2 linked regions of the Oryctolagus cuniculus genome follow. The protein of the gene in region 2 interacts with the protein of the main gene of each other region in a biochemical or structural test. Links are inferred from orthologs where the notes say so. Each region holds a gene or a part of one and is shown on either strand. Other genes may lie near its edges. The genes, in order: POLE3 and SMARCA5.

What was found.
Region 1: the proteins of SMARCA5 (region 2) and POLE3 form a complex in vitro, tested with the Homo sapiens proteins (2 studies listed by BioGRID). The link is inferred for Oryctolagus cuniculus from reciprocal best matches to the Homo sapiens genes SMARCA5 and POLE3.

The regions. Positions count from the first base shown.
Region 1 is NC_091432.1:216,998,305-217,002,619, forward strand, and holds POLE3 (DNA polymerase epsilon subunit 3), read right to left. Parts: upstream 3,069-4,315; 5' UTR 2,994-3,068; coding exon 2,928-2,993; intron 2,828-2,927; coding exon 2,742-2,827; intron 2,439-2,741; coding exon 2,320-2,438; intron 1,725-2,319; coding exon 1,552-1,724; 3' UTR 1,521-1,551; exon of another isoform or gene 1,066-1,520; 3' UTR 317-1,065; downstream 1-316. UniProt on the Homo sapiens protein: Accessory component of the DNA polymerase epsilon complex. Participates in DNA repair and in chromosomal DNA replication.
Region 2 is NC_091439.1:21,029,873-21,034,280, forward strand, and holds the start of SMARCA5 (SWI/SNF-related matrix-associated actin-dependent regulator of chromatin subfamily A member 5), read right to left. Parts: upstream 2,954-4,408; 5' UTR 2,446-2,953; coding exon 2,272-2,445; intron 1-2,271. UniProt on the Homo sapiens protein: ATPase that possesses intrinsic ATP-dependent nucleosome-remodeling activity.

The sequences.
Region 1 (4,315 bases), on a different chromosome or scaffold from region 2:
AAAGGTAATGAGGGTGACAGCAGGGCTGCTTCCCAGGGTCTAAGAGGTAGTTTTGGCAGGCATTCGGAACAGCGCCAGACGCAGTGGGAGCTCAGGAAGTGGCGTCGCTGGCTTTCTAAGGTGCCAGCCATGATCAGGCTCGCGCCAGCTGAGCAGCAGCACCCTTGCCTGTGAGCGAGCGGCATCTGCTGGCCGCCAGCGGTGATGCAGGCTCCCGTGTTTCCAAGATCTGGCCCGGGGATCACACCCCAGACACTGTATGGGGACTTGATCAGTGGCTCCTCTCCAAAAGCACACGGGGAACACGCAGGCGTCATCTCTTCTAACAAGAACGTTCTTTATTCGTACAAAGCATTACAATCTTCTCAACAGCCATCACTCATTGAACGCCTCCCTGTGTTCATTTAACAAGTTGACAGTGTCAGACTACACTTCCCTACCTGTCAAACCCAAGCGCTCAACCTGCAAACAGAACAGTGCTTGTAGCACTGACCCAAAAGAGAGAAAGGCTCAGAGAGGCCAACAGGGGTGCTTTAGAAGCAGCTCGGGGGCACGGCTGGTGGGCCAGCCATTACATTCCTGAGCGCCATCTGACTGCCCTAAAGGGTTTGTATGACATTCTTTTTAAAAGCCGAGAGATTAGAACTAAGAAAGCAGAAGGACTTGCACTTTGGAATACTAAGCAGACTGTCAAAGTTCCCAGACTGGCAGGACTGAGAGAGAAAGTGGAAATGAGAAGAGCCACAGGAGCGGAGGGAGAGCTGTGCCTAGAGGGGAGACGGTCTGGAACTCTCCGTGAACTGAAGGAGGACGCTCAGGCCCCAGCCCGGGAGGCGGGCTTGGCCTCCAGCAGGTTCTCAAGTGCACATGGCGAAGGCAGTGAGGCGCCTGCTCCGTAAGACCCCGGCGTCCCTGCCTGCCTGCCTGTGGTCTCCACTGTTCAATCCGGAGCGCGTGAGCTCAGAGCGCGGCGCCCGGCCCGGCCCGCCCCAGGCAGGCTGCCTAAGGCACACAGATGAGCTCCAGGGTGAGCGGGTCTAACAGAATCCACTCCCACGGATGTTCCTGCCAAGGGGAGAGACAACAGAACAGATTTCTTTAATCCTCCAGTTCTCTTAGCAGTGTCCTAAAGCCAACCGCCTGACCACTTCACGGGTTTCCACGGCCACATCGTGTGCAAGGAAGCCCAGCTTTCTGGAGCCTCATGGCCTCTGAGACTTGGAACACAGCAGGCAGCAGGGGAATTACGACTCTCTTCAGGGGTAGGAGGACTGGGGGTCAAAACCTACCCAGCCATACATGTAAGCCAACACGAGAGATCACACTGACTAACGGAGCGAGCTGTTCAGTGACGACCGCCCGCTCAAGGAAGCGGCACAGGGCTGTGCCAGGCGGCTGCGCGGCGTCGGGAGCGCCGGTTCGGCTGGCGGCCTGCATCTGCTCCAGCACTCCAGCCCGGGGCAAAGCAGCGCACAAACACGGAGCCCACGGCCACCGCCCGCCTGCCTCCCGCCGCCCACCTGCCTCCCGAGGTCCAGACTCCCGCAGCACTCAGTTGTCAATCTCCTCCTCTTCATTCTGCTCTTCTTCCTCCAGCCTCTCCTCATCTTCATCGTTGTCCTCGTCCCTGCTCTTGTCCGGCTCTTCCGAATCCGCCTTTTTGTCTTTGTCTTTCTTCTTCTGTTCCGAAGCTTCCTTCTTGCCCCTCTGCTCCCGCCTATAGGCTGCAGGAAGAGGGGCGGGGTTAGGAGACAGGGCTGGGGGAGACAAGCGGGGACCGCAGCCGGCAGCATCACTGGACAGCTGGAAAAACCAAGGGACACGAGCAGAAAAGGACCTGGCGAGCAGCACCGAGAGGTCTCGGGTGGTGCCACTGAACTACGTCCGGTCACATCCGGTACTGGCTTTCTGGGCCACTCTTTCACAGTCCCAGGGCCACATCAACAGGTCACCCGTCTTCCATGTGGTTTGGGAAACAGAAGGGTACGGGCAGGCACTGGGGGCAGGGATTAAGGCGCAGCTCGGAACGCACGCATCCCATACCTGTACGGGAGTGCCTGGTTTGAGTCCTGGCTCCGCCACTTTAGAGCCAGCCTCCTGCCGGAACACCTTGGATGGCGCAAATACTTGGGGCCCTGCTCCCCACGTGGAAGACCCAGAGGAAGGGCAGGGGTCCGGCCCGGCCCGGCCCGGCCATAGCTAACCTGGGCATTTGGGGAGTGAACCGGAGGGCGGAAGATCTCGCTGTGTTTAACGATCTCTCTCTCTCTGCCTTCCAAATAAAGTGAAGAAGAAGAGAAGCCACGCGGGGGTCGTTACCTTCCAGGGCCTCCTTCAGCGGGGCGACGAACCTCTGGAACTCCATCTCCTCCATGGCGGACAGCACGTCGCTGGCATTCAGGGTCTTGCGTTTCCCTTTCATCGCGAAGTTGTTGGCACTGAAACAAAGCAAAAAGGGCTCTAAACGGCTGCCCCCTTCCCTCTTTAGGACGCGAAAAGGGGCACCCAGGGGTGGGAAGGGAGAACCCAGGCACATCTTGGCCGTACAGATGTTTGCGTAACCTGCGTAAACCCTGCCCTTGCCCGTACCTAAGTCTGCTGTTCGAACAGACCCGGGAAGACCCGGGAGGGGGGTTTACATGGGTCCCAGACCACAACTGCCAGCAGCGGTTCCCGGTGCCTCCCCCCCACCCTCCAGGCCTTAGACCCAGCCGGACGCCGGCTCGCTCTGTCCTGCTCACCACGATGTGGCGTACAGCACGAAGACGCTGGCGGCGCGTGAGATGGCGCTCCGGGCCTCCTTGGAGATGTTGACACCTTCCGGGAGCTGTGATGACGGCGGGAGTGAGCAAAGCCGCCGGCCCAGGACCTGCTTCCCTTCTGCCCGCTCGTCCGCCCCCGGCCCATCGCCAGCCCGAGCTGCTCACCGCCTCCTTGATGATCCTGGTGATTACGGCGTTGGGCAGGTTTAAGTCCTCGGGCCTCTCTGCCATGGCCGCGGTCGAGGCCTGAGTCTGAGCCTAGGGCCTCCTCCCCAGGTACCTCCAGCGTCCGGACTTCCCGCGCCGCTGCTGTCTGACCCTCCGAGGCTTCCGTTCCGCCTCACGTAGGCCGCACCGTGTCCCACAGTGCCCCGCGCCCCCAGCCTTCCTCCTACGCCAGCCCCGCCTCTCCACCTCAAGACGCTTTGCACCCGAACTTTTTGCGCTCGTAGCGGTTTTGGCTCGCTGGATCTTTCGGTCAGCGCCCACCGTACGCCGCACGTTCTTCCTCAGAAGAGTGTCTCTGCTTCACGCTCCCGCTACGTCCAGAGCTTTCGCCTCGAACTAAGTATGGCCCACGGAGGCTTCCGTCCGAGCCCCATCGTGCTCTGCGCCGTTGCTTGGCGACGGAGCGGCCTCGCGCCTCGCGTGGGAGACGGAGGCGTGGAGCCGAGGCGGCTGGGTGGGGCCCCTCCGGACGAGAGGCGGGGCCTGGTGAGCCATTACCGCCGAGCTCCTCGCCGGGCGGGGCTGCGTTGGGCCCCTGGATTTCGGGAACCCTCGGGGTTTCATCTTTGCCGTGGTCCCGAGGAGCCGGGACCCTGCGAGGCGGAACCGCTCCCTCCCGACAGCCACAGTGTTTTTCCTGTTCCAGAACGCAGCGGGGAATCTTTCTTCAGCCCAGCGCTTGCCGATGTCCATCCATCTTTCCGCCCCTCACGGCGCTGTGCTAATCCTTACCAAGGATAGGTGTTAGCTAGGCTTTTTTGGGGAGTTACCTTTTTTTTCCCTTGAGCTCTTGTTCACAGCGGGATGCGCCTGACCAGACTTAGAGGTTCATTTCGGGCTGGGCAGGAAAGGGCGGGAGCAGCCGCTTTTAAAATACTGCATCGTCCCATTTAAAACAGCCTTGTTAAAATTGCGTTTAGTTTTAGTTCATTACATTGTGTGTCGTACACCTTTCCCAGGCAAAATCATACCCAAGGGTTTCTTCTTCTTCCTCTTCCTCTTCTGTAATTAACAAATCTTTTTTATTTGGGAAGAGAGAGAGGAATCTTACATCAGGTTCAGTCCCCAGATGCTGGCCAATGGGTGGTGAGCCAGGTGGAAGCCAGGAGCCTAGAACTCAATCCAGGTCTCCCACGTGGATGGCCAGGACCCAACTACTTAAGATTTAGATATTTGATATATATATATGTGCATATATATATATATATATAAAAGAGAAAGCGAAGGAGATCTCCCATCTGCTGATTCACTCCTCAAATGGCTGTGCCCAGCTGGGCCAGGATGAAGCCAGGAGCCCCTACGTGGGTGCAGGGGCCCGAGCATTT
Region 2 (4,408 bases):
CCTCTGTCTGTCTGTAACTCTACCACTTAACTAAATCTTTAAAAAAAAAGGGGGGGAGGGGGAATGATGAATAAAAACCCCATACTGTCAATACTGTCAATATGAGAGTAATAACCAAAAAATGAGATTGTTCCTTTAGCTCATCAGTACCAAGATAAAAGGAAAAACTGAATACAAAGGAAAGGTTGGATAATGTTTCTGAAAAACCAGCTCTATCAAAAAAAAAACCCTGAAAAATACCTGGGATTATTTTCTTAAATTCTACTTTCAAACAAGAAAAAGGCACAGCCGGCGCCGCAGCTCACTAGGCTAGTCCTCTGCCTTGCGGCGCCGGCACACCAGGTTCTAGTCCCGGTCGGGGCGCCGGATTCTGTCCCGGTTGCCCCTCTTCCAGGCCAGCTCTCTGCTGTGGCCAGGGAGTGCAGTGGAGGATGGCCCAAGTCCTTGGGCCCTGCACCCCATGGGAGACCAGGAGAAGTACCTGGCTCCTGCCATCGGATCAGCGCGGTGCGCCGGCCGCAGCGGCCATTGGAGGGTGAACCAACGGCAAAGGAAGACCTTTCTCTCTGTCTCTCTCTCTCATTGTCCACTCTGCCTGTCAAAAAAAAAAAAAAAAGGCACTTAAAAATATCTTTGTACCAACTGTGAGACTGGTTCAGGTGGTCAGATTATGCATGTGTGCTCAAACTGAGTTTAACAGTGAATCTCAGTAACTGCAAATTCAGTGAAGAGAGTATCTTCTCAAAGCCAAAACACTTAGTTTAGCCTTAACATTTACGCTCCTTTCTAATATTTAAGGAAGACCTCTAAAACTTTTGTTATGCCAAAGGTTTGAATGGCAGATTCTTTTGGAAAGCTAAGGGAAACTCTGAACATCTCTGTAGAGTATTGAACATTTACACACAATTGCTTTCAGTGCCACAGGCTTTCTCCTTAGGACACTGAGCAAGAATCCAAGTTAAACAGCATTGATAATCCAAAAGAACTACTCAAAACCCCAAGGGGTCGGGAGGTTTGAGAAGGCAACACTGAATTCATTTTAATTTGAAACAATCTCTATCACTGAAAACTAGAGAATATCAGAATTACTACTCTACTAACTGCTGTTCACAGTTCCTTTAAAAACGAGTGTGCTACTGCATCCTAGTTGCCTAAACAAAACTACTGTGCCAAATACCTCAAAGGTGAACTGCACCAGCATTTCCTTATTGCGGTAGTTCTCCATCAAAGCTCAGTTTTAGAAGTTACTTACTTCTATTCTATCTAGAGATTTAAAAAAATTCCCAGAAGTCTTCCTTCCGGCTGGAACTACAAAATGTTTCAAAACAGGGCGAAGGCCAAAAATAAAAACTGGAAGGAGCAATCTCTTTATTCCCAGCCATCACAGCGCCTAGGAACAGACCCAAGAGACCAAGCTGGCAGCGCCCCCATCTTTCCACCCCCACAGTACAGTCACCATCGCTTGGCCAACCCAACACCAGAAGGCTCAGCAAGCAAGCGAGGGTATCAACTTTGTTTTTAAAGACCAAAGCCCAAAAAGGGGGAAACGCACTGGTCTAAAAGCCACCCAACCACCCACCCACGGTTCTCCTAATCCATTCACCCGCCCATGCATCTCCCCAGATCAGATGAGGATTCAAGACAGCTGGCTGCTGCCGGGGTCGCTCCCCTCCCTCCGGAGCAGTGCCTGGGAGGGGCCTCCTTCCCCTACACAGAGGCAGCTGCGCCCCGCTCATCCCCACTGCGCACTCGGCCATCCAGCTCTCGCCATTGTCTGGGCCCAGGACAGATACCGCCCCCACCGGGACCGGGAAGAAAAAAAGCAGGCCCGAATCCTCGGATGCGCCGCTCGCAAACGACTTCCCCGCCCCACCCCCGTATCCCACTCCCAGGGGGCCTCTCCCTCGCCCTCCCCACAAAGTTTGGTGGAAACTAAAACCTAGATTCCTAGATAGGAGAGCCAGTTCTGGGAAAGCTTTTACAAAGGTAAATCCCCCTTCGGCCCCAGCAATCAAGCAGACCCGTTGTTATAAGAGCGCTGAAAGATGTGTTAAGATTTGCTAAAGAGACTGAGCATTTTAAACGTGGAGCGGCAGACGTCCAGTCCCCGCCGGCTCGGGTCTGCGTAGCACACGCGCAAAAAGTACGAGCATCCTTTCACAGGCTCCGAGGCCGAGTTCGGGTGCAGAGGAGTGAAGCGCGCCTCGGAGCTCCATCACTCGATCGCCTCCCGTGCCCCCGCGCCCGCCCCGCGCCACCAGCCGCCCTCACCTCCATGTCGGCGTCCGCGGAGCCCGCGCTGGCCGCAGACGCCGCCGCCTGCGCCGCGACGCCCTCGGGGCCGCCTTTGTTGCCGCTGTTGCTCCCGCTGCTGGCGGCGGAGGCTGCGGGCTTGGAAGGCGCGCTCTCAGGAGGCGGGGGTGGCGGAGGCTCGGCCGCCGACATGATGTTCCGTCTGCGTCAGCCGCTGCTGCCAGATCCCGGGCCGCCGGGGATGCAGGAGGCCTAGGCCTGGGCGGCTGCGTCGCACGCAACTGATGGAGGAGCGGGAGGCCCGCCCGACTGCTCGCCCGCGCCGCGGCTCTGTCGCCGGCCTGAGCCGGGCCCAGCAGCCTGCCCCCGAGTCGTGCTCCTCTTCCGCGGGACTCCGGGTTCGACCGGCGCTTACCTCACGGCGGGAATCACGTCGGCGAGGGTGGGCGGGGCCAGCCGGGTCACTGAGGTCAGGGGAGGCGGGCAGAGGAGGAGGAGGGCGGAGTGTGAGGGGAAGGGGAAAGGAAAGCGAAAGAGAGGCTGAGGCGGGGATCGCGCTCTGCTTCCTCCTCTTCCTCCTCTGGCAGATATCATCTAGCTCGCCAGCATCCAAGACTACTACGTACGCCACCGACTTTCAACCCTCGCGAGATTGCTAGTTGGTTCACCGGCTGGGTCCGGAGAGCGCATGCGCTGTCTCTCCAAGTCGCGCTCGGCCCCTCCTCTTTCGGACGTCTAGCGGGCTCTGGGGTGGAGGGTGGGCGGGGCCTCGAGGGATTGCTCGGAGACGTAGGTTTGTGCGTCGGCTCTTTGGTATGACGCAATCGCTCTCTCAACACGCGTTTTTAACGGCTCGCTTCCCCGGGCCGCCCTGGGTTCTGTGTCTGGCTCTGCGGCGGTCTCTCAGAACTTGCTCTGCCTGCTTTCACGCGGAGGCCTATGCTGGCCATCACCCACCTGCGGCTCCTGTTAGAGGTGTGACACCTCGGCCTTCACGACGTTTTGGTTTTCCCAAGTGATGCTCCATGGAAAAAACATGTTAGTTTTTTTTTTTGTTGTTTGTTTGTTTTTGTCGTCGCATGTTAGCTACGTCAATCATTCCTAAATATTGGCTGCTTCCCTTAGGTACAGAGTTAGATGGCATTGCTTCTGAATTTACATGGTGTAAGTTAAGCAGAGAAGTTAATGTGCACACATAGAGATGAGAAAGATGAAAAATCACTAGATGAACAATTGATCTTTTTTTTAAAAAAAGTTTCTTCACCAAGTAAAGTTGGTGTGGATGACTAAGAAGACGGTGTTTAGGGTGGTACCCTGTAAGCATTCTATTTAATATGTATATTGTTATGTAGAAAGAATATAGCATCTAGTCAGAATATTTCTTGTACTTTTTTTTTTTAAGAGTTAGTTGAAAAGCAGAGACACAGAGAGAGGTCATCTGTCTGCTGGTTCACTGCCCAAATGGCCCCAACTGCCAGAGCTGGGCCTGGTGAAGCTAGGAACCAGTAACTTCTTCCAGGTCTCCCACCTGGGTACAGGGGCCCAAGCACTTGGGCCATTTTCACTGCTTTCCCAGGCCATTAACAGGGAGCTGAATCAGAAGTGAGAAGCCAGGACTCAAATCGGTGCCAGCACTTTAAGTGGAGACTTAATCTGCTATGCCGTATCACCAGCCCCTTTCTTCCACTCTTTACAGTGTAAGGTAGAAAACTTGGGTCTGGGCTTGAAAAATCCTTAAAATTATATGTAATTATATAAATAGAAGGGTCTTAAGTCTGATAGCTACAGAAAACTGCAAAGAAAACAATGTCCTTGAATAAGAAAAAAAAAAACCTCTAAAATGGCTATTGTCTTTTAACATGTTAGTTTATATGTGAGTTTCTCATGTTGTGTAAGACTATCATTGGGAAAATATTAGAGAGGAAAAATACATAGGAGAAGCTAGAAAGAAGAGACAGAATGTTCAAATCCACTCAAAAGGGAAAAAGATTTTGAGAAGTCTAGAACTAGAGAAGAGGGGAGAGAAGCTACAGAAAAATACAGTGCCTAGAAACTAGGCTGAAGGGGCATTAGTTGTGTTAGGCAGATAGCAGTACTTACATGGAAACCAAATCACAAGGACCCTCTTTTTCTTCAAAGACTAAAACCAACAGCT